Linked DNA regions of Drosophila melanogaster. The protein of the gene in region 1 interacts with the protein of each later gene in a pairwise test. Each region holds a gene or a part of one and is shown on either strand. Other genes may lie near its edges.

Evidence for each region.
Region 2: the proteins of Boot (region 1) and Pura interact in a two-hybrid assay, tested with the Drosophila melanogaster proteins (one large-scale study listed by BioGRID).

What each region holds. Positions count from the first base shown.
Region 1 is NT_033778.4:9,087,360-9,099,509, forward strand, and holds Boot (bootlegger), read right to left. Parts: upstream 7,300-12,150; 5' UTR 7,173-7,299; coding exon 7,133-7,172; intron 7,069-7,132; coding exon 6,101-7,068; intron 5,945-6,100; coding exon 5,849-5,944; 3' UTR 5,147-5,848; downstream 1-5,146. Other genes in the region: CG13742 (uncharacterized protein), read right to left, coding at 1-198; Dbp45A (DEAD box protein 45A), read left to right, coding at 552-627, 683-1,224, 1,283-1,449, 1,507-1,865, 1,932-2,085, 2,149-2,416; Nadk2 (NAD kinase 2, mitochondrial), read right to left, coding at 2,559-2,662, 2,724-3,126, 3,184-3,390, 3,452-3,692, 4,048-4,294, 4,371-4,410; Ctu1 (cytosolic thiouridylase subunit 1), read right to left, coding at 9,952-10,777, 10,830-10,987, 11,044-11,091; CG8777 (uncharacterized protein), read left to right, coding at 11,235-11,327, 11,383-11,594, 11,702-11,894, 12,032-12,150.
Region 2 is NT_037436.4:7,588,594-7,600,996, reverse strand, and holds the start of Pura (Puratrophin-1-like), read right to left. Parts: upstream 7,907-12,403; 5' UTR 7,720-7,906; coding exon 7,552-7,719; intron 3,768-7,551; exon of another isoform or gene 3,744-3,767; coding exon of another isoform or gene 3,594-3,743; intron 1-3,593. Other genes in the region: t-Grip84 (testis-specific gamma-tubulin ring protein 84), read left to right, coding at 10,079-12,265.

The DNA.
Region 1 (12,150 bases):
GTCGATGTATGCTCCTAATAGTTTGGTGAACCACAATGTCAAGACATCCACAGGATTCGCGGATTTATTTGCGATACATGCTGAGCAAATGGAAACCGCCGAATCAAAGTCTATCATCAGGATGATGTCCTTCTGGTCTATAGCCACCAGCTCACTGTAGGCTACAGATGCACCCAGGCTATCATGGTTTTCGGACATCTTTGCATTGAGTCTAAATCGAAATATTCAGTGTGTTTACAAAATGATCGCGCCCATAGATGCGGAATCTTACCTGTCTAGAGCGTGACTATTGTCGATTAATTATAAAATGTATTATTAATTTTATAGTGAATTTTTTCTTATTACTCGCCAATAATTCTGCGGTTGAAGTAAATAAAAAATTTAATTGAATTTAAATTAAAAATGCGTACTAAATACAGCTAACCACTCACACGGAGCAAAAATTAAAAACGTATCGATAGTTATATACCGATACAGAAGACAATACTTCCATCACTAATACAGCGCACGTTGTTTTCCTTTTTTATTTCGTTGTATTTTTATTTACCGAAATGCAACGAAAGGAGGCCAATCCCTTTCAGATCCTGGGCCTACGTCCATGGTTGGTTAAGCAGCTGACCAAGTTGGGTAATGTCAAGCCGTCCACGGGTTTACCCAAGTAATTAAACCATTGCGCTTTCAGGCCTGAAGGGAGCAACTCCAATCCAACAGAAATGCATCCCAGCGATATTGGCGGGCCAGGATTGCATTGGAGCTGCCAAGACGGGCTCGGGCAAGACCTTCGCCTTTGCCCTGCCCATTCTGGAGCGGCTGAGCGAAGAGCCAGTGAGCCACTTCGCCCTGGTGCTGACGCCCACGCACGAGTTGGCCTATCAAATCTCCGAGCAGTTTCTTGTGGCTGGACAGGCGATGGGGGTGCGCGTATGTGTTGTCTCTGGCGGCACAGACCAAATGGTCGAGAGCCAGAAGCTTATGCAGCGACCGCACATCGTGGTGGCCATGCCCGGCCGTCTCGCGGATCACCTAACCGGCTGCGACACCTTCTCCTTCGACAATCTGAAGTATTTGGTTGTTGACGAAGCGGATCGCATGCTGAACGGAGACTTTGACGAGAGCCTATCCATCATTGAGCGCTGTTTGCCAAAGACAAGGCAAAACCTTTTCTTTTCCGCAACCATGAAGGACTTCATAAAGGAGTCCAGCATATTTCCCATTGCCAGCGATGTAAGTTTTATGAATACCCTGTTGAATGGTACTAATAGATATCTTAATCCGAATGTAGTGTTTTGAATGGTCGCAGGACTCAGACGTGGCCACTGTAGAGACTCTGGACCAGCGTTATCTGCTGTGCGCCGACTACGATCGCGACATGGTCTTAATAGAGGCACTAAGAAAGTATCGCGAGGAGAACGAAAACGCTAATGTCATGATCTTCACCAACACAAAAAAGTTAGTTGCACAATAATAGGAAGTAAATTCTAAGGATTTAATAACGAATCATTTTAGGTACTGTCAGCTTCTCTCGATGACACTGAAGAACATGGAAATCGATAATGTTTGCTTGCATGGTTTCATGCGGCAAAAGGAGCGCGTAGCTGCTCTAAGTCGCTTCAAGTCCAACCAAATACGTACACTGATCGCTACGGATGTGGCCGCCAGAGGTCTGGATATACCCAGCGTCGAGCTGGTTATGAATCACATGCTTCCCCGGACACCAAAGGAGTACATCCATCGCGTAGGCAGAACAGCAAGAGCGGGGCGCAAGGGCATGTCCATCTCCATATTCCGCTTTCCACGCGATCTAGAGCTTTTGGCCGCCATTGAGGAGGAGATCAACACCAAACTTACAGAGCATCCCATCGATCGTAAGTTTTGTTGGAATTAGTGGCACACAAAATAACTATCTTTAATATATATATTATATAAATTAGAGCGCATGGTGGAGAGAATCTTTATGCAAGTAAATGTCACGCGCCGTGAATCAGAGATGCAATTAGATAATAACGATTTCGACGAGCGAGCGCAAAACTATAGGCGAAAGACGTGGATTATGGAGGGGAAGGACCCCGACCAAATGGAAGCTTTGTAAGCAGTGGAAAATACGCATATTCGTTGTATTTTATAACAATTTTTGTATCCCATCCACAGGTATCGTAAAAAACAGAAGGATAAACTAAGGGAAATACGCCGAAAGAGAAAACTGCAGCACGCAGAGCCGGCAGCCAGCGAAGAGGGCAAAGCTCTCCTACAGGACGAGCGTTTTAAATCTGTAGACAGTGCGAGGTTTGAGAAGAAGGGAAAAGGACGAAGTAGAGCCACCCAAGAAGATACCCCAACCAAGCCACTGAAAAGGCTTAACAAAGAAAAACCAGTTGCCCAAAAGGGCAGAGCAGATGTCAAGAAAGATAAAGCGTGATGTTTAAATATACTTTTATAAAATAACAAAATAACTTTTGAGCTTACACTGCTAAGTAGTTGCAAAATGCTTACTTAAATAATTTCAAAAATTCAGACATGCTAGAGCGAGATGACCAGGCACTAGGGGCGCATCACTGGATTCAGTCTAAAGCGATTGTCAGAAGGGCATCTTCTGGGTGAACCTCTAGCAAAGCCTTGGCGCCATCGTTGAAGGGGAACGAAATGCTGCCATCTATAACCAGGTCTGTGGAGATGTAATTGTCATAGTTATATCTTGTTTCGTATTTGAATGTCCAACTACTCACTGGCATCGATGCAATGCGACTTGACAAACACGGTCTGCACAAAATCGCGCTCCTTAAAAGTCTTTGGCGAAGGCCACACGCCCACGCAGATTTGCTCCCGGATGGAATAGCAGAGGCGCGGGTCGTCTGGCGCGAAGAGCAGGCCTTGGTTGTACCGCTGGGCGATCTCCTCTGCATTTTGTCGTAGCATCATCACGTTCTTTGAATCGCCGTCGGGCAGGGAACGCAACAGGTCGTCCACATCTCGGCTTGTGATGCGATTGATGCTGGTGTGCCAGGATGTTGAGCCCGTGCCCGTGCTGACGCACAGTCCGGAGCATTTGGTCTTGTTCACCACGTCCTGGTGGTCCAGCACCAGTTGCAAGTGGGACACTCGGGCCGATAGATGCTCGCCAATAAATACCTATGTAGACAGCTTGTAAGATCTAAGCAATCCAGCATAGAATCCTAATTGTCTTACCTCGTTCAAAGCCAAGTAAGGAAGAACACGTTTCATCTTGGCCTTGTACTTGTAGGCCATGTCCTGGTCCAGCATTTCGGGTGCGGTGCTGACCTGCTCCATCTTGACCTCCGTGTGGCGGAAAAGGTCAGTCGGCTCCGGAATATTGCCGTTGCTACCAAGCATCGTAGTCCGCACCCTCGAGCGATGCATCCACTTGAAATCTCCCTGCCAGGAATTTGAATATTTAATGAATGAATTGTGAGAAGTGGCTCGTTCCAGGACTTACGCTCTTGATGCGGGAAACGGCGTCGGCCGGATTATCCGAGTAGTGCTTGGGCAGCATGAGTCGGCCCTCCGAGTGAAGCGGATCCGAGTTGAAGCCCACGATCGGCGTCTTCTGCTGGCTGAGCGCGAAGAGCGGACTGGCGCGTCCGGCGGAGAGAAGGAAAGTGCCATCGCCGCCCACCGGCACGATGACGTCCGCCCAGCTCATGACGTCCTTGCTCAACGAGCTTCTAAATTCAAGTCTGCTCGTTTAGTAAAGTCAACACACAGGGTGAGGTGCCGCATGGGAGACACGAAGTGTGTGAAGATGGTGGAGATCAATTGTAGCGGGTAGTAGTCACAAATCGAAGATACATATAGGTATAGTATGTGACGAAGTGACGAGGCACGCAACACAACATTGGTGGCAGTGATTGGAGGCCTAAAGGTGTGGATGTCTGGGTACATGTCCTCATAGAACTAATCTCATTCAAAGCAATGAAATCATTTCCATGGCTTGAGTACATTTACTCATTTACTTGAGTACATGTACCTATGGCCTCCGTTGCTTTGAGCTGCACTCCGATCACTGAATTGGAGGACTACATGGGTACGCACCTGCTGGACAACTTCACCTCGCAGCCGACGTCCTGGAAGCTCTGCACGACCCGCCGCTCGAAGTCCTTGTGCACCTTGTGCAGATGGAGGACCATCTCCACGTCGGTGCCCCGGTCACGGAGCTTTTGCTGGAGCTGATCCGGAGACAGTTCCGGGTGGCGTAGCTGCTCGAACTCATAGCGGGACAGCTTGGTGACGACCAGGGCCCGCTTTAGCTTGAAGTTGGTCGGCGTATATTTAGCGTACTCTGTTCAAAATGGCAATTGCAAGCGAAAGACCTCGTTAGTCCGATCAAATGTGGGTCCTCGTCACGGGAAATTTACTCAAACCCTCGGGAATAATCTTCCTGCCGTTTTGAAGCATCCTACGGCCGAAATCGATGTGTAACTACTAGGTTTTAATGGAAATTTCCCGGAACAGCTGATAAACAACACAGTGCAAGTGGAAAGTATTTTCCCTCTAAAACTTTTAATGAAACAATGTTATGTATTTGGTTTGTACCAATCATGTTTTTCGTAGATTTTCCTAATGGTTTGACATACTGCAGTGAGCTTTAAATACCATTATTAAAGATAAGTAAAATCAAGCTATCCAGTATGTAAAATTTGTTTGTTTATAATCAATATAATTATAGCATAACAAAGTTTAGTGACACACACTTTGAGATCTGCGTTCAATACTTGTTGAAAAGTTGGTTAAGTTAAGTTAATCCGGAAACCAAAAAGGATATTTAAGATAATATCCACTTTCTGAGCGAATAATTTTGTCAGCCAGTGTGCGTGGGGAAAGTTCATCGTGACAAAGAATTTGGCGAAAAAGTGTTTACTGATAATCTTCGGCTTGGTCGGCGTCAGATGCGATTAAGGCTGTCAAGGCGAGCCTACGGATCTGGTGATATGGTATTAGTTTACTCCAGCACATGCCTAAGGCTGATAATGGAGGCGGCAACGAAAACACAGATAGCTAGGGTGTGTAAAACACCTCAAGTTGTGCCATTTCGGCTCCGGAAACCCACACATCCTTACCTTTGGAAAACTGTTGGAGCAACTGCTTCGACTTCAACATGCTTGGCACTACCGAAGACGAACAACGCACATTTAGGGTACTGTGTTCAGTTTATTTCGTATTCGTTAAGAAAATCGTTTGGGAAAAAGACTACGCTATAAAAGTAACCAAATGCAAAGAATCGATGGCTCTTTCTTCAGTTGGCCACTTTCGAATGCTTTTGCACAAACAACAAAATAACTGCGTGTTCGTTCTACACTCGACAAAGCACAAAACATAGGTTGAGGTTAGTGTTTAGCACACTATCCTAAGTTACGATCACTACTAACTATCCCGCTATCCGATCCCGATGATCATTTTCACGTCCGCTCTCTGGGTGCTTGGCAGATTAACTGATTATTACTCTGTTCGTCTCCGGCACATCAGTTATGTATGTATATAAAATCGCCTTCGCTGTAAATTTATCGCCGTTTGTTTCTATTTTCGTCCGCTTTCGCTTCTCACATCTCGTTCGTCCGTGTGTACTTCTTGTTGTGCATTACTGATAAGAGGCCCAGCCTGTTCTTATCAGCCGAAATATGTGTTATATATATAAAAAAAAGAGGCAGAAAGCGACTATTCACCCCTGCCATTCACTGGGCATCGTCGAAATCGTCTTCTTCTTGCCTGCGTCGACTCGCAATTCGCACAGAAAGTGCCCGCCAATCCGGCGAACTTAATTTAAACATGGGCTGCTGAGTACTTAGAAATAACAGAAGTCAGATAGATCCCTTAAATGCAACTTGATGTCGGTTTTCTAGTTAAAACGTTGCAGTTGGTCCCTTCCTCCTTCACGTTCAGGCAATGCGACACTTCGGGACTCCTCCATCGGTCCGTTTATCCAGTCGATGTTCTTAAATAAGAAAACCGTAAACTTATTTAAAAATACAAAGTTAATATGAATCATTTCTTGAAGCTTAATGCCTTTTTTCTTACACGTGCAGTTTGTAAGGCTTTCTTTCAAATCTCTATTGTGTGGTATTAGATTACACATGATTTCGAATATTACCTTGAAGATGTCACACGAGTCTCCTTGGTTGTTTTGCTGGGCAACGCTCTTGAGCAAGAGCATCACGTTGTGGGCCATTTTACTGATTTTCATGCTCTCGGAATCAACTGCTGCGGGTTTCAGGTCAGTCTGCGGCTTATTAATATCCTGCGCTTCTCCAGCAAACACATTCATCGAGTTGTCCGTGTAACGCGTGATGGTTTCACAAGGCAAATGGTTCTTGACACGATTATCCGGAATGTGGGACACCGAATCGATTAAAGAGCCGATCGAGGTGGAGCCGGTCCAGTCGTAGTGGTCAGGTCCCATGTAGTTGCGGCTGCTACGCGGATCAGTGGGTGCCTGGTGAGTATACTGGAAATGTTTATTTACATCAATGTCAAGGTCAGTTTGTTGATTTGAATGGATTTCTTGACTGCTGAAGGCATTGTAGGCGTAGCGCAGGACCTCCTTCTTGGCAATCTGGGGCTGGTGCTGATGACGATGGAATTCATTCCGTTCATGGTGATTATACTGACGATTGCGTCTCTTGTTAAAATTATTACGAAATCGAGAGCCTTCTCTCAGATCAAGGCGCGACTTAACGTGACCACGTGCCTGGTCACTGAGCCCCAGTTGAGCCGCCGCTGATGGCCGGTTGACGTTGTTACCATTCATGCGCCACGTGGCTGAGCCTTGTGAGGCCTCCGAGCTTTGAGACTCCGTCTCGCAGTACACCTTATCAAAGTCATTAATCTCAAAGTTGATTTGCGAAACATTGGAATCGAACTCGGTTAGAATTGATTGGCCATTTGCTAGCACGGAACCCTGGAAATCTTCAACTTCAACATCGGTATCGCCACCCTGATCCTGGTCCTTGTAGGTTTGCAAGTGCCCCAGCTGGCGATTATCGCCCTTGGGGGCTGCATTACTCGAGTATCGTGGTGGTATTCTGGGTTTTGGTACTACGCATTGCTCGAAGTACTCATCTGTCAGATAAAAAAAACGAATATTTTAAGGACGATCACAAATTGAGCAGACATTTTTACGTACCCAAAGACAGAATGACTCCGGATGCATTGAAATCCGTCATCGTGCACTCGCAATTAAGCCTAAAATATAGAAACAAAAAAAGCTTGGCGCCGCGTCAGTCTGGTCCGCAAGAAAAACAGTTAGAACCACCGCGTTTGTAGAGCTGCAAGTGCTGCAATCGAATATTACCACCCGGATAAATCGAAGTAAAACTTCTTTGCACTGGTCAGCTTTTGAGTTTTTACACCCGTTACTCGTAGTGTAAAATAGTATACAAAAGCATATTCTTGATCAGGATCAATAGCCAAGTCGAGCACCTTTGCCACACCCCTCCTTATAATTACAAAACGCTCAAAACACACTTATGAACAATTTTTAATTTTTTCTCATTTTATTTAGCAGTATCTATCATGATAAATTTTCGTGTTCGCATATCCACTAGCTGAGTAAGAGTATTTTCTAGTCGGGTAGTATTTGTCTAAGATCTATTCATTTTATTTAAAGTTTATTAAACATAAAATATTATTAGTGTTTTATTTGTGTGAATTCTTTTTCTTTGTTTATTTTCTTCTTTATTAAATTAAATCAAGTATTGACTTAAGTTTAATATGGGGCAATAACTTGTATGTATTTACTTAAATCGTTCAATGCGAACTTGTTTTGGTAAATCAGTTTTTCATAACAGTGCGCCACCTTGAAAACAGACCACAAACGCAGGCGTTAGGCGTTTCAGTATTCTTGAAAGTACAAGCAGCGTGCACACTGCACCACCAATCGCCGCCAACTTCACTGGCTTCTCTTCACTTTTTTAAAGAACGTGGAGCGAACATCACCGCATTGGAAACGATTAAAAAAATATATATAAAAATGTAAGTATTATAGATATGATAGGCGACCGGTGAGTGCAGCGATTATAACTGCAAATCGAGTTCTACTGGCTTGTTTGCAGAACTCAATGTTGCAAGATTAATTTGTGATGCGCAGGGAAATGCACTTCACCGATTGCAATTCAAATTGCAGTCACGTGGTCGAGATTCCATTGCAGTCTCAACAAATTAAAAATTAAAAAAGAACGTTAGCTAAACGATGCGTTTGCTTATATTGCAGGTGAATCTGTGATTACTAGGCGCTGCGTTAAAGCGCTGGCATTTGTGAATTGGTAAGTTTCATCATTGTATTTATTTATATTTTTGTTAAATAATATTAATATTTTCATGCGAGCATGAGTCGCTGGTGTAAAGAAACTACTACTTTAGCTAGTGCTTTTTACTTGCTCGCAGAAAAACGTGCTTTGCCCAAGCATAACCCAAATTTAAAAAACCCGAGTTTGCGGTGCATATTATTTTCGTGAAGCTGACAGTTTAAACCCTCTTAACTAGCTAAGTTTAGTATTTGCGAATATGGCTAACCCAGCATTCCATTTTCAGAAACAAAATGGCCTCTTATGCTCAACACGTGTTTTCTGGCAGAGTTGGAGAGAGACAGACGGTAAGAATTCGTTCCAAATCCCAAATTAGCCCTTCTCAGTTATCTGATGATTTATAATTCTATTTTCTGACATCTCTTATGAACCGTTGTGATTCAAATCAGTTATAACTAATTCTGACACATTCGACTCTCAACTAAATATAATTTTTACTTGTGGCCGTGACTTATGAGAACTCATCTATTACTTGCAGATCGGTCTTTCGATTTGGATTCGGAATATAAATGAGGTTATCAGCGTGAAATGGTAATTATTCTCTTCATTTATGAAAACTACTTAAAATTTCGTGATGAATGACCCTATCATCATCTTTCGACTGAAAATCATTTTGATGCTATACTAGTTTTCACTGAATTTTAAACGCTTTAAAAAAACCTGTTAAAAAGATTGTTACATTTGAATAACACAAATATATTTTAATTTCAGTTCATTGCAACGTCAATATCATGTATCAAACGTGGCTCACTAACACAGTGAAAAAGGTAATAATTCGGTTTAAGATAATAAAAAAATTTAGTTTAAATTTTATGTGTAAATTGGACAATTAATTGTGTTGTGATGAATGAAACTTACACCATCTTTCGACTGAAAAATGTTATGAAGCTATACGAGTTTTTACTGAAACCCCTTCATTTTATTATTTTTGTGTTTTATAAGTTTTTTAGAAAATCGGTTGCTGCTCTTTATAACCATTTAATTTTTGTCATTTTGCAGTGTTCAAGAAAACCACCTTTGATTGTCGCGTCATATGCCCAAACAAGGATCTCTCCTTTGAAAAGGTAAATTATACTCTAGAACGAAATAATATGTAAATGATGCTTTTAAAATTTCTGACATCTCTAATGAACCGTTGTGATTCAAATTTTTCTAATATAATTAACTGATCATTTTAAAATCGCTTAAACGATTGAGTTATATTTGAATAACTACTTATTTGTATTGTTTTTGATTTTTTTTTTTTTTTTACAGATGTGAAACATGCGTAGCAAAATGAATCCGTCAATGGTTCATTTATAAATTCCAATATCTAAAAAGGTTAGTACGAAAAGAGATTCTGTTTAGCGGAAATGAAGATTTCAATGATGATCACTTAAACCATTCACAGACACCATATAAAGGTCAAGCGCTGGCAATCTTCTTCAATATTCTTTTGGAGATAGAGCGTCTTGTTTGACTGGTTATGGGCCCTGGTTAAAAACTTGGCACTGAGCTTCATAATGCATTCTAGTATTAATGAAATTAGCCTGCGAAACCAAACTTATCGTTCCTGTTGTTATCTTTTCAGGTTGGCAACCTTGGATGAACACAATTTGTATCTTGTGGAATCACGAATAAATAAAATTCATATGTGTTCTTAAAAATCGTTTTTTACTAAGTTTGCTCGCTCCCGCAATGCTAGTTCCTGGTTCTGCTTGGCAATCATTCGCTCGCCCTTCGACTTCTTGCCTATGCCCAGCTTCGGCAATCCTCTATTTAGACCCTCGAGAAGGACGCACGCCTTGCACGGCTGCTGTGAGGAAACGAAGCCACATCGGGTGCATGTGCCACGCTCGGGCTTCTTTACCGTGTCCTTGAAGCGAAGCTGTTCGCCAGAGTAGATGATGTCCATTATAACCGATGGTCGCACTTTCTCCAAATCCTTGAGAAACGCTCGAGCGTGGCCGCGATACGCATTGGGGGCGAATACGCACTCCGTTGAGAAGTAGACCAGCTTTTTGTAGTGGGCGTACATCACGATTTCTTTCTCGTAGCTGTACTTGAGGGGCTTCACTCGGGGAATGGTATCCTCGCCCCCGCCGGTGCGGATGCTCGTGCAGCGTCGCAGGCGCGCCGTGTCCCCACGGAGCACGTTCATCAAGACAGTCTCCGCAATGTCATCTGCATTGTGGCCTGTGGCTATGCTATCAACGCCCAACAGCTTGGCCCCTCTATCCAAGGCCTGTCGGCGGAAGACGCCGCAAAATGTGCAGTTGTTAGAACGGCCGATCTGGGCAACAATGCGGTCCATGGTCCAGCCGTAGAGCTCCTCGTAGGACAGGATCTTTAGTGGCATCTGGTAGTCGTCACGGTTCTGTTTCACTGTCTCCAAACTGTCATCCCGATATCCAGTGATGCCTTCGTCTATGGAAAGGAGCACCAGTTCCAGACCGTAGTTATGGCGTTCGTTTAGCAGTTTTAATCTGTAGAACACTTGGATTAGAGAGGTGCGATGGGGGGAATGGTACGACATACACGTGCGCTAGGACCGTGGAGTCCTTGCCTCCACTGGCCGCTACGGCCACCTTCTCGCCACGTCGGAACAAGTTGCTGGAGGAGATTGTGTGATGGATCTCTGCCTCGAAGGCTGCGAAGAAGCACTCCTTGCACAGGGCATCGCCGGTTTTGGGTCGCTTTGGGCAAACAACATTATTAGGATTTATTAGGGGCTGTTTAACTTATGAACTACCTTCAAAGCAGCGCGATTTCCGCACTGCGACTTGCAGATAATGTGCATTTTTACTGACACTTAATTAGCACACAATTTAATTAACAGCTGTTGCACCTTATGCAGCAGTGACCAACACTGGCGTTATACAAAATCAAGTTACCCATCACTGTTTGTTTGGAATAGATGAAAAATAAATATAAATATTTACAATGAGCGCCGTAAAAGAGTCAAAAGCCTTGATCAAGGACATTCGGGAGACCATAAAGCTGGGCAAGCATGCGGAAGCCATACCCAAGTGCCAAGTGACGTCACCATAGAACATACCAGTTATGCATCATCCTAATGCCTTTATTGCAGCGCCTACTTAAATCGGAGCCTGAAAATGCTATGGGCTACTTGTTGCTTGGGGCAGCCTACCAGAATATCGACAAGGCGGAGGCGGCCAAAAACCTGAGGCAGTGCATCAAGTGCACGGATGGTCCGGCCCCTGCCGCGCTCCTCGGACTCGCCAACTGCGCGCCCAGCAACGAACTGCCTGAAATCTATGATCAGTTGGCTGACCTGCAACCGTAAGAATCTGCTCGTGACTCCCTGGTCATTATCCATACTCCATACTATCCATACTAGACTTTGTCATAAAAGGACTACTAAAGTGATCTTTACTTTACATTTTTAGAGAACAATCCTTGAACTATTGGGAAAAGCTTTTCAACTTGGCCTCTGACTCAAATGTGGCTCCTTTCTGCTTCACTGTACTTAAAAAGAGAGTGCAGGACACAGAGAATGGAAATTTTACGAAAATTCAGGAGTATCTGGGACGCATTTGGGTTTCAAACGACTTTGAAATTGCGCCCGAAGATACTCAGCTTGTAAGTTACCGTATAATTATTAATTTATTTATTAAAAATAATTTTGAAATATAAAGAATTATAATTGATATGAGCACTTTCATAGCTCAATTTCTTATTATAAATTAGTGCGTAATGACTAATTACACTTTTTTCAGTACAAAACGACTATGGAAGCTCTGCTGCAGAACTCTGAACCCAGTGCAAGGAGCGTGGTTTACAAGCGATACCTGAAGTGGCTTTACAAGAAGCAGGATTATGAGACTTGCGTGCGGCA
Region 2 (12,403 bases), on another chromosome or scaffold:
TGGGTTCGGCCCGCCCGGGGGCGTTTTGTCGGTGGGTTTCGGTGGGTTTTTATCGGCGGCGGTGGTGCGTGAGTCTTGGGCAGTGGGTCGTTCGGTGGTTGGAGCTGTGCTGCTAGCCCGCTGTTCAAATTATGGCCGCGCGTCAAAAGGAAATCGAAAATGTTGCACTAGTTGGCTGGACAAGCCATTAAAGGAAGGTCGCCTCACTGCACACCGACAGCACAACCTTGGGGCTATGCCATGTATCTAAAATATATGCCGATCTCCCATCTCCTATCCAATTCGATTCAGCACTCTCTCACGCATCTACGGTTTCACCTAACGCCGTCGTGACCCAAATCGGAATCGAACATCTACCAACCACCATCCAAGATACGCTCCCCTTTGATTTAGTGGACTCGGACAAGATTGGAAATTAATTTTTATGCATTTCTTGTCACATTTGTGTTAATCAAAACATTATGACTGCGTTTTCGTTTATTAATTGAACAACCTACTCCGGCAATCTAAACACCTGCGAAGGAGCTGGAGCCTAAAAGCAAAAAAGCTGAAAATGTCATTGCCATTGCCAGTTGGACGCACTGCCTCTGCCCACAAAGCAAATTTAATTTATTGCGTGTGATTTTGATAGCGTAGAGATATACAGAAATATTGCGTCAGTAACTAATTTGTTAGACGATCGTTGTTGCTCGTTGAAGATTGTAACGGGTCGAAAAACTAATATATTAACAAGAATTATAAATCTCATGGTTATTCCATTAAACGAAATACAATTACATCTCGATATGTTTATTAATCGTTGAAAGACCTTTTAAGTTAGTTTATTAACATTCGCATATAAATGGAATTAAAGCCTTAAGATTTAAAGTCGTATACCTTTAAAAAGTAATATAAAAGCCTTGTTTTAGCAGCATATAAAAATGTGAAATAAAATATGTTTATGTGGGAATATGTAAAGATAGTGTAGGTTGTGCAAATTGCATTTTTTAAGAGAAAGACTGAGTGTGTGCGTGTGTATCTGTGTGAAAATGCGTGGGCCAAAACTGCCACTGCTTCCAAATTAAAGTGACAGCTCCAAGAAATTGAAAATGACTGTGAATGCGTGTCGTTAATGGGCTGTCCTAACCCCAGACTAAGGTTAAAGAAAGAGAAACCGAAAGCTGGACAGGAAAACAGGTAAACTGGTAAACGGCGGGGGTGGCCAATATGAAAATGCATTTGCATGGGAGGTTGTCTGGAAAAAGGCCAAAATAAAAATTATAATCTTATATGATGGGTAGTGCTCTAAATGATATTTTACGAAACAAACTGTTTAATGATGAGCCAATATTAAGTGAATAAAAAGGCAATCAGAAAGCTAACATATGTTTTCAATTAATCAGAAAAACCTTCTTAGGTTTTACATCACCTAAACCTGTATCTCAGCTAACTCGACTGCCATAACTTTGAAATGATAAAGACATTGTTATTAAACAATTTCGCATTTAAAGGCGAACCATGCCATTGCACTTCCTTCCACTTATAGGTCAGATCGTCTTATTCGATTACAAAAAAACCCATTTCCTATATCAAATTTGCATCTCGTGCGTTGAATAACAGCTGCATGCCAATTGTCGGAGGTTTATGAAAGGTTCAATGTTTCAGCCTTTTCCGCGCTGAGATTGCAAATGCGTTGCAGATTTTGGTTTTGAGTTTTTAGTTTTCAGTTTTGAGTTGCATTTCGCTGTGGCCGACGAAGACGAACTCAAAGTCGCGAGTTGCAAAAATTCCCACGTCGTGCGTGAGTGCGCGGGAAAATATTAAACAGATTTTCATGTCGGAGGAAAAGCATACGAAAAATCGCTCTCAACTGCAGTTAACAGCTTCGGAGATTCGATTTGAAAGGCGTTCGTCGTCGACGATTTTTTTTTTTTTTTTTTTTGTTGGCAATCGCATGTTGCGGCGTTTTTGCATGATTTCTAGTTAAAATGCAAAACTCTGGCTGCGATAAATAAATATGCATGCCTCGGATGCAGCGAACAATGTGGAAAAAGGCAACCGAAAACTTAAACTGCACTTTGAATCGAAACTGACGAGCAGCGGATGCACAGCCCCCATCTATCCCATTCCAACCCATCCCCATTCCCATGCCATCCACCTATTTGGAATTGGCCAGCCAGCCAACCAAGTTAACAGCGGCAAAATCACCAAACAGGCGGCGCAATTAGCCACCGCTGCCTGCTGCTAGTTGCAATTGCTCTCTTGCTTTATTGGCCATTGAATGCACCGCTCCGCATCCACCTGTCCGTCCGTCCGTAAGTCCGTCCATCTGTCCGGCCAACAAATGAGCCACTGATAAATATTATTAGCGCACGGCCAGTCGCAGTGGCAGTTGCACCACCGAAACCACCGAAAACCAAGTGCAAGACCAGGTCCTGCACCCAGAGTACACTGAAAGCAATTTTACATATATTCAAGAAGAATGAAAGGCCATTTCTGATATGACCTATATAAGTCTCATTCTTCAATTGCACCTTAACATTTTAAAAATATTTTATATTTCACATTTGTTTAGACCTTTTATTGCAGTGCACAGTTCGGTGCACCGGCTGCCACATTTGCGGCATAATCGCAATTTATTTAAATGCGATCCGGGGACTGCGGGGGATGGGACTATTTTGGCTACCACTTGAATTGTAGTCCTACCACAAGTGCTGCTGCCACTCTGCAATTAATATCGACATTTTAACACTTTACGTTGAAATATTGCATCTCTTACTCTTTCCGATTGTTATTATCAATGGGGGCAGACAGTCTTGCCGTCCGTTTATCTAGTTTGGTGGTCGTCCCTGATTCTGCGCAACAGCTTTTTGCCTTGTCTACTCTTATTTTGGCTCCTGCTTTTCCAAGCCGCCAAATCGCGGCTATTTCCTTTGCATTTTCGCTTTGACTTTTCCTATACCCCCGCTATCGTATTTCGTTAATGGGCGGGAAATGCAACTGTCGCCGCACACGAATGTCAAGGAAAACACCGGCGTACATAAGTAGAGATTGCCCTGGCTGCTGATTGAATAACTCCAATCGAGGTGTGATCGAACTAGTTCAGTGTCGGAAATTGCCAATCCTAAGCGTAGCAAATGCAGTCGTAAAGTTTTTCCTCAAACTGCTCGAGAAATGCAGTTAATTCGGTGCTAAAAAATGTGTTTTATGCAGGAGTATATACTGAGACTTTAAATACCTTAGAACCAAAAAGTAATAACTAAATTAAACGCAGCACCTGCAAAATTCCACAAAAACCTGTTGCTCGCATAAAAGTTCCCAAAACTCCTTGCAATGTTAAAAACTTTCGCCAACTTCCCTTAACGAACTGACCGAGCGTTTAATCACAAATCAACTTTCACGCCCCCCCAAAAAAGCGCAAATCACTTGAAAAATATGAACTAAAGCTAGCCACATTAATCTACAATTACTTTGTATGGCCAATGGTCAGAGCCGAGAAAAATGACTCAATTTAAATCAATAAAGGGCAGGCACTTTCGCAAAGGTACGTGGTGACCCCGAATGCTGTGGCGACTGAGGCATTCACTGGGATAGAGGGATAGAGAGTGACCCACCGTCTGAATGGCCGCATACGAGTGCCAGATCAACTTGGGACTGAGGGGCCGAGGATCGTAGTGCAGGCGGGCATATTGCTTCATGAATATTTTCCAGATTACATAAGCCATCGTCGAAGCGTCTCCGGTCATAAAGATCGATATCCACATGCAAATTATATGCGTGCCAGGAAATTGCCGGCACATCCACCTCCAATCCAGATTCGGGTACGGGTTTGGGTTCGGACTTGATGCGTAGTTTGTTGGATTGCGTTTATTGTTTTCATAAATAAAGCGCAGGCACACCGAAATTTGTCGGCTCGCATTATTATTATTATTATTGCTTATTATTATTGTTGCAATGGCGATATTCACTTGGCCAGACAGATTCACTTCATTTTTCACAGCACAATCGCACAAAAAAAAAAACGATTCGAACCGAACCGAATGGCTTAAACCAACAAAGGCAAAAGGCAAAAGGCTGGGCGCATACAAAAGGAAGGCAGTGTGGCAGATACTTTTGGCTCCCCCTTCTCGTGATCTTGTGTATTATTTTAATATTTATTTACATTTTGAGCATTTTGCATAACGCGCGGGTCACGACGGAAATCGTCGGCTGGCAATTTATCAATACATAGTTGTGTGGCCTAAAGGAAAAAGCCAGAGTTAAAGCCGCGGAAAAACTAAAAAAAAAAAAAATGGGCAGAAAGGTTCGCAGACGCGAAATCAAAACAAATGAAAAACGCGCCAAAAAATCAAAACGCGCACAAATTTTGCTTCACTGGGCGTACGTTTTCCTTTTTTGTGTTTTTGTATTTTTTTGTTGTTGTATTGCTGAATCGGTCGAAAAGATCAATATAGGAAAAACGTCAAGAGCCATGAAGTCCGTCTGTCCGGGAAACGAGTTCAAAGCGTTTGCGGCGGCCGCTTTGCGCCAACTAAATTGAAATGAGCGGAGCGCGAAATGGAAAAGCCCAGTCGGTATCGAGGGTGTAACTCACAGATACTCGTACTCACCCAAACCCATTTTCCACTGACTGCAGGCTTCAATGATTTTCCATGCGTGCGACGAAACGCTTGTTGTTTGCATTTCGCCTGGGCTTTTTCGCTTCATTTCAGCTTTTTTTGCTCAAATCGAGCCCAGTTCAGTTTACTTCAGCTCAGCTGACTCAACCGCTCGTTGGCCGGCAGAAAAACGCTCGCGGAACATCAATGGCAGCAACAACAATAAACACAGCACACCCACAATTATCGGTGATTTATAGTGGATGTGGATAGGGATATCTCCACTTTGACGTGCGCTTGGTCACCGATTGCATTAGAATACAATCAGCGAAGGAATACATTTACATACATTTCCGAGAACGTTGCTTTTCAATCTAATTGTTTGGACTTTCGACAACTCAAAAAATATACATATAAATAACCAAAGTATTATGCAGATCAATGCCCAATTATTGCGGGCTGCAAGATTGCTTGGTTATGCAAGGAAAATGATTAAAAAATTAAACAAAAACTGGACTATGTTCTATTTTATGTAGTAAAATCCCTGGCATTACTGCTACGTCTTCATTATCATAACTAAATTTTTTATCTTTATGTATTTGTATAGTTAATACTTCTCTTCCCAGTTCATAGAGTATCTTATAGTACAGTATCTTTCACTTCCATTTAGTCAGCATTTCCGACTGGGGACTGAGTTCTGTTTTATGCACAATGTTATTGTTTGCCCCGCTGAATAGCCGCCGCCCGTGTTTCATGCCCATCCCTCTGCCATAATTGTGGATACAATGCATCATATATAGACATCTTCAACTCCTGCCTTGAACTTGGCAAGTTCCCATATTATACATATGTATATACAAAATGAAGGGCTGGCTGTCCACATATATTTTGTTTGCTACTTTGTCGGTGTTTAGCTGAATGCCTTTTGACGGGCATTTGTTTACGATGCCAGACGCAGGCTTACCCTGGAACGCTAACGAGCTCGGGATTCCTTTGGTTCCTGGCTTCGAGATCCCCATGCGATTGCGTTATCCGGAACACGCGATGAGTGTTTACTTCGCTCTGGTTTCACGAAAAAAAAATCTGAGCAGTCGCTGAAACTTCAAGTGGTGCGAATAAACATTTGCCAGCGGGATAAACAATATATGGGCTCCACCGATGGCCCATAAATATAACTATTAAGTGCTCTTCCCGGTGGGTCTGCCATATATTCCACTTGCGAATGCGAACGGGCATTAGAATAAAGTTGCACAGCAAATTGGGTTGTGAGTAAGAGTATCAATATTTCCGCAGTCAATTAAAATCAATTAATTCCTAAGCTTTTTGTGATTCACTAGTTCGTGATTTGATTCCGGGCTTAATGACTACGTATATCATATATCATATGCCCTTTACAAATAGTTTTCTAATTTACGTTAATCATATGCATTATAATATTTTAGAATTTTACAATTAACTTTATGCATGCAATTGCCGCATTTCAGCTATTTGAAAATTCAGTTTCCCTTCAGACCAGTAACATAAAAATAAATCACCCATTTTGCAGTCTATTGGTTTATATCAGTTTGCAGCCTAAATATTAGAAAACTTTTTAATATGCCATGGGCGTTCAGCTTAACCCCTACGTGCTCTGTTTGAGATCCGCATTGTTACAAACACAAAAATTTCGAAATCGCACAAATGCCAGCTACAGATAATTGCCAAAAATCACCGGCAAAGTCAACTCAACTTTCATAAAACGGCATTCAATTTGATTTGCACAATTTGGAGGCCTCTTAGCGGCTCCTCGACTGTCGGTCGGTTTTCACATTTGTGGCATTTTGGCGTTTGTTTGAATTGATAACAGGCTGAAAGTGCCTTTCAAGCTGACAGCCATAATCGCTCAACGCCAACTGTTTGGCGGGCTAAAATAGTTGGGGGGTTGTTGGGGAGTTTTCCCGACTGCCAGGGGATGGAATTATATAGAACCAAGCCTATGTCTCCGCCAGGTCGATGGACACACCCATCCAGGCAGAGCGGGCGGAAAGCGGAAACGGAACAAAGCCTCAGACAGTGGCCAACTTGGGCTCAGACCAATTCAAACCAGCAACTCCGATGGAGAAATTATAGCGAGTCACGCGAGTGCTAAACTTTTCTAACCCTTCTTCAGCAGCCGGCTGTGCCCCGATTCGCAGGAAAACCAGAATTAGCTAAAAATTGCACCGAATGCCCGAAATGATTGTAGTTAATTGAATTTGCAGCCTGGCTGAATAACTTTTAATTGAATTCCAGCTAAAATCTAAAGGTTGTGAGCTGGAGTGATGACCCACTTGGGGATCTAGTGCAGGATGATCTAAGTTGGGTAATAAATACATAACTCTAATTGGATAGTCAGAAAAGGGACAAAAACATGTTCAGGGTTAGTAATTAGGCATACCTTGATAAAATACAAAACTTATTTTGCCGGCCTGTATAATAGAGCACTGACTTTATTGACTCTAGAAAGTGCTAAGTACTAAGGTAATGAAAAAAGTCACTTTTTGCGAATAATATTAATGACTACACAGATGCTTCTATTTATTAAGTTGTTCTTGTAGATTAATGGTACTCCTGTGATCAGTGTCAATTTCATTTTGGCTATGCAACTTCGTTAATATTCTGTTAAAGCTGGCTATTAAAAAAGTAGTAAACAGCTGTTTAGTAATGTCTAAAGCAGCCTTAAAATATTGAAATTCGAATAACACTCGCTCATTGGCTTTCGTAATTGATAAATTGAGCAACTACTTCAAGAGAATACCCTAAATACATAGCTATTCTATTTCCACATTGACTCTATCCAGTCAAGTCTATATATTTATTTGTTCACCAATGATCTCATTTCAAAGCCCATTAAATTCTGTAGCAACTGAGATTAAGTATATCAGTTTAATGGCTTTAGAAGTGGCTAAATGATGTGGTCACGTTGCTACTACCCTATTTCTTTCGGTGTACTCACGTGACACTGCCTTCTGGCCAGTCGGCGCCTAATCCACTTGAACGCCTCCTGGCGACGCCGGACAAAGGACATACTGGAGCGGTGCCACAGATGCAGGACGATGACGAGGACGCGCTGCACCCAGACTCCCAACCGCTCGCTCCACACTTCCCGGCGCAGCTGGAACATTAAGCACAGCACTCAGTCCGATTTTCAACGGAATCAAATACCATAACTTTCGCGAATGGCTAAGCACTGCGATATTCCTGGGCGGATTGGCCAAGACGGCGGGTAGCTAATAGAATTTCACTTTTGTTTTGGGGGCGGTACGCGGTACGGAACCGTTGTTACTTCAGTTGCGTTTGTTGTTTGACTGAGAATGCCGCCGAGTTTGTTTCTCCACCTCGGCAAACTTTGAGTGAGTGTGAGCAGTAGACTCCTCGACTTGAGACTCAAGACTTGAGACAGAGAGAGAGCCCTGCACTTGCGATTGTCACCGCTACTGATACTTATACTGTTTTTTTTTTTATTTTAACGTTTTTTTTTTTTTGTTGCTTTCCGCGTTTTGTTTATACAATTTTCTGGTGCGGACCGTGTGCGTGTGGCTTACTGGGGAACCCAGAAAAATCGTACTACTCGTACATAAATAATGCAATAAGTTGGGGCCCCACCGAATCGAGACAAAAACAGAAGGTGGAAAAATTGAAAAAAAAATCGAAACTGTTTTTGCATTCGCTGCACACATACACACACACCCATCAAACATCACACCTCTTCTGCTGTCCGAACACTCGAATACTTGAATACTCGGCTTTTAACCGAGCTTTGCACTCAATTTGATTGCCGGCAGAAGCGGCTGCAAAATCCACGGTAGTCACATGCGACACATGTGAAACACGCAGGGGAGGCCCATTTTACGGTGAAGGCGAAGGTGTTGCTTTTGTAATCGGCGGCCTAGGCACATTGGTCGCAAAACAACTAAAATGGGTGGTCAAATTTGGTATGTGACTCAGTTCAAAATATACAATATACATATATATCCAAATTAGATTATTAAATGGAATGTACAATTTGGAATAATCAAATATTTTTGAAATTATCTTCCTTGTCAAGTGGCAGTATACGACGTTTCATGTTAATATTTAATATGTTAATGTTAATGTTTAATATTTATTATTTAATTTAGAAATATTAAAACAAAGAAAGATTAACGCCCATGGTAGTGCAAAATTTGTTTTAAAATTAAAAAAAATATTTTATACACTTTTAATCGGGCATTTCTCCATATCATATTACCACTGTACTTGCACTAGTTCGTGTGTGGGCGTTTCTAGGCGATCCCTTGTACCGCGCCCAGTCTTCGAAGTGCAAGCGCCGCTAGGCGACGAAGGCAAACAAGTGTTTTGGGTGTCTGCTATACTCGTAAAATGCGAGGAGGATAAAAGCCCATGGAACGTCTATCGGAAAGCTTTTGGAGCGTAGATTAATGTTACTGGCTGTGGTCGGTCTGCTGGCCGTGTTGCTATTTTGTTATTTACCCGCTCGTTGCCAGTACGGTTATTTATTTATTTATGCTAATGTTGCTGGCAGAGCCGCTGACGCTGCATTTGCATTGTTTAGAATGAGAACAGCGAGAAAACGAGCGCAGCAACAAAAAGGGGGCACAGACAATAACAACAACTATAACAACAACATGTGCAACAGCAACTGCAGCTACAGCGGTAGCAACAAAAACACGACAAGTGGCACTCACGCGACAAAGGCCCATATATAAAGTGTTCTCATGGTTATCTCGTTGCCTGTGCGATACTTTCAAGTGTTTCACATGCAGAGGAAAAATTGATTTTTATCAATATAATAAACAATACACATATTCACATACATAATTCACTCACTGCAAATCATTTTCATTAAATCCAATTCATAGTTTTAAGATTTCACAAATTTGTTTAAGCACCCTAATAATATGTACCAAAAAAAAAATTTCTCACTGTGTGCGGATATTTTGGATACAAGCACATAGAAAGTTCGAAGTTCCCATCGCGTAGAAATTGATGGAAAATTCTCAGCACGTTCGTCAGTTGGTTCTGCTGCTCCGCTTGATTGACAACTGGGCGTCGGATCGCCCAGCTCAACTTGAATCGTTGAAGTATGGGCTTGAAATGCACCTGTGGCTCCAAACTTCGACGAAACCAGAGGCGAAGATGTCGCCGCTGGGCACGATGATCGATGGGGATCCAGATTCAAAACCAAGTTGATTTACCTCGACGATTCAGCGGATATCACCGAAAGTAACCACCTTTCACAAATGGCTAGAGTTAAGTTTGATAATAAGCAGAAATGGAAATCAGAACTAGCAGAAGTTAGGTGTACTCAGCACTAGCACCTATTGTTATAACAACCAAAAACTCTACTAACTTTACATATATTTAATTATTTAATTTCAATCTATCCAACATACCTTAGTTATTATAATCATTCAGAGAACACTTAAATAATTTTAAGCTTCGAAATCGATCTCTGTTCTTGATATATTTTCTTATTCACCATGAACTCCGACAAATCGGAAAGTGACTTCGCGAACAAAGTGCGCTTTCACCTCAGTAAGGACGAGCTGGAGCGGCAGATGAGGAAAATTCACGACCGTGAGGAATCCGTAGACGAAAAAATGCGTCCATCAGGAAGCGAAAACAGCGGTCATAATTGCAATACGAGCTCGTCCTCAAGTCTGCCACGGCAGGAGTCCTGGATCTTCGAGAGCGTTGGGGGTTACTTTCTCGCCAACGAAAATTTGGCCAAGATGAGTTTGCCTTGTCAGGAACAGTTGCTGATGAGGGATCTAATCTATGCCTTCTCGGGTGTTCCATCTGCATATGTAAAGCCTGATATTCAGATCGATCAGATTTCCGAAATGTCTGCAGTGGATATAGCCAAGATTCGCTTTCGATTGAAAAAGACCTTCACTGGGGCTTTTAGGGCTTTGGCCAATGAAACATTACCCCTGATAGGTTATTATATTAGTGTACAGAGCTATATAGAGGAGACCAATATGTCGCCTAACTGCGGAAGAACACGACTGACCTTAGCCACTGCCTTAAGTGATCAACTGCAGGACTATTATGATCTACAGTCCAAGTTGGAAACGGATTTGCAGGACAAGAAGTTGGATCTCAAGGATCTGGTGCGACAGGTGCGTCCTTGGTTGCCTATTTTGAAGACTTTTTCCAACATGGCCAGCAGTGCCCGTGGCAATTTGACCAGCGCCCAGGTCCTAACATTGCTGGACCAGTTCTACCGGGATCTGAAGGACACTGATATAGATCTAAAGGAACGAGTGAACAAAATTTTGACTTCGACTAGTCGAGCTTACATGAAAATTGTTCAGCTTTGGATGCAAAAGGGTGTTCTATTCGATACGCAGCATGAGTTTTTTGTGGAGGACACGGAGCCCTCGAGTACAATGAGCAGTACTCTTTTGGCGCCGGAGAAATGTTGCCACGCCTACTGGGCGGAACGGTACCGCCTTTTGCCAGACCGTTTGCCCGGTTTCTTGCTTTCCCAGGCGGATGATATTTTTCTGGCCGGAAAGTACCTAAACATTTTGAGGCAGTGCAATGTTTCATTGAAGCTGCTACAGCGGCCACTAGCTTATAGTCAAGGCGATTTGGGACATGAGGAGATCATTAAAACAAGCTATGAGCTGCCAGCACATAAGTTTCTCAAGGTTTTGGTGGAGGAGCACAATTTGCCTTTACACATTCGCAATTTGAAGTCCTATTTCCTGCTGCAGGAGGAAGGCTTCTCCGAAACTTTTCTGCACAAATGCCATGAGTACCTAAAGTACAATGTGGAAAGGTTAATTCCCGAGAAGCTACAGACTCTTCTAGCAGAGACCCTGCATAAGTCCAATGATTTCATTAAGGATAATGTTCGCTGTCAGCTTAAGGTTTGCGATGTAGCCACACTATTGGGTAGGCAACATAAAGCACAGAGAGCTGTAGAAGATGAAGAAGAGGAGGAGAAGGAGAGCTGCAGCGAGCAGGATCCTCCGGAGGTCCTGAATCTCTACGGCTACGAGGCATTAGCTCTTGGCTATGAAACAAAATGGCCACTAAGCTTTATTATCTACCCGGAGCTCCTAGAGCAATTGCAGATGTTACAGCGTGTCCTGTTTTTTTTGCACTATGTGAAACATCATTTGACAGTCCTTTGGCAAAGTCCTTGTGAGGGTACGGGTCTCCAGCTAACCAATCGATCTGGAAAACTTCGCCACCGCATGCTAATGTGTATGCTAAGTCTGGAAAACCACATCATCCAGGACATCACCGAACCCCGATGGCAATCTTTGACCTTAACGGTGGACAAGGCAAAATGTATCGACGAGGTACTAAACAAATTGGAGAGCACCGTAGAAGAATGCCTGCGTCTGGGGTTACTACCCACTGCCAACACGTTTGTGAAATCTCTATACACACTCGGTCATGTGTGTCTCAACTTTTGTGACTTTGTGGAATCCTCGATAGGAGAGAAAAGTACCAAAGAACTCGAGCAGGAAGTGGTCGAGTACGAAGAGGAATTTAAAAGCTTTTTGACCAGCATTTTGGAGTTGGTTAGCCAGTTGGCTAAGACGAAAGACATTGCGGAACGGGACTCCTGTAAACAATTGCTCAAACGACTTGGGGAGTTAATTGAGTTCTCCGATTTGGATAAGGATCAAATAGCTTCCAATATTTAATCAACGGCATCAAAACGTGTCCAACAGCTTCGCCAAATCACCCGTGCTTTTTACTCTCCATGACCCATGGAACATTTAGTGCTGTGTTTACTTAACTATATTATAAGAGCGTTCTTGCAAAATGAAGTTAACTCTTTC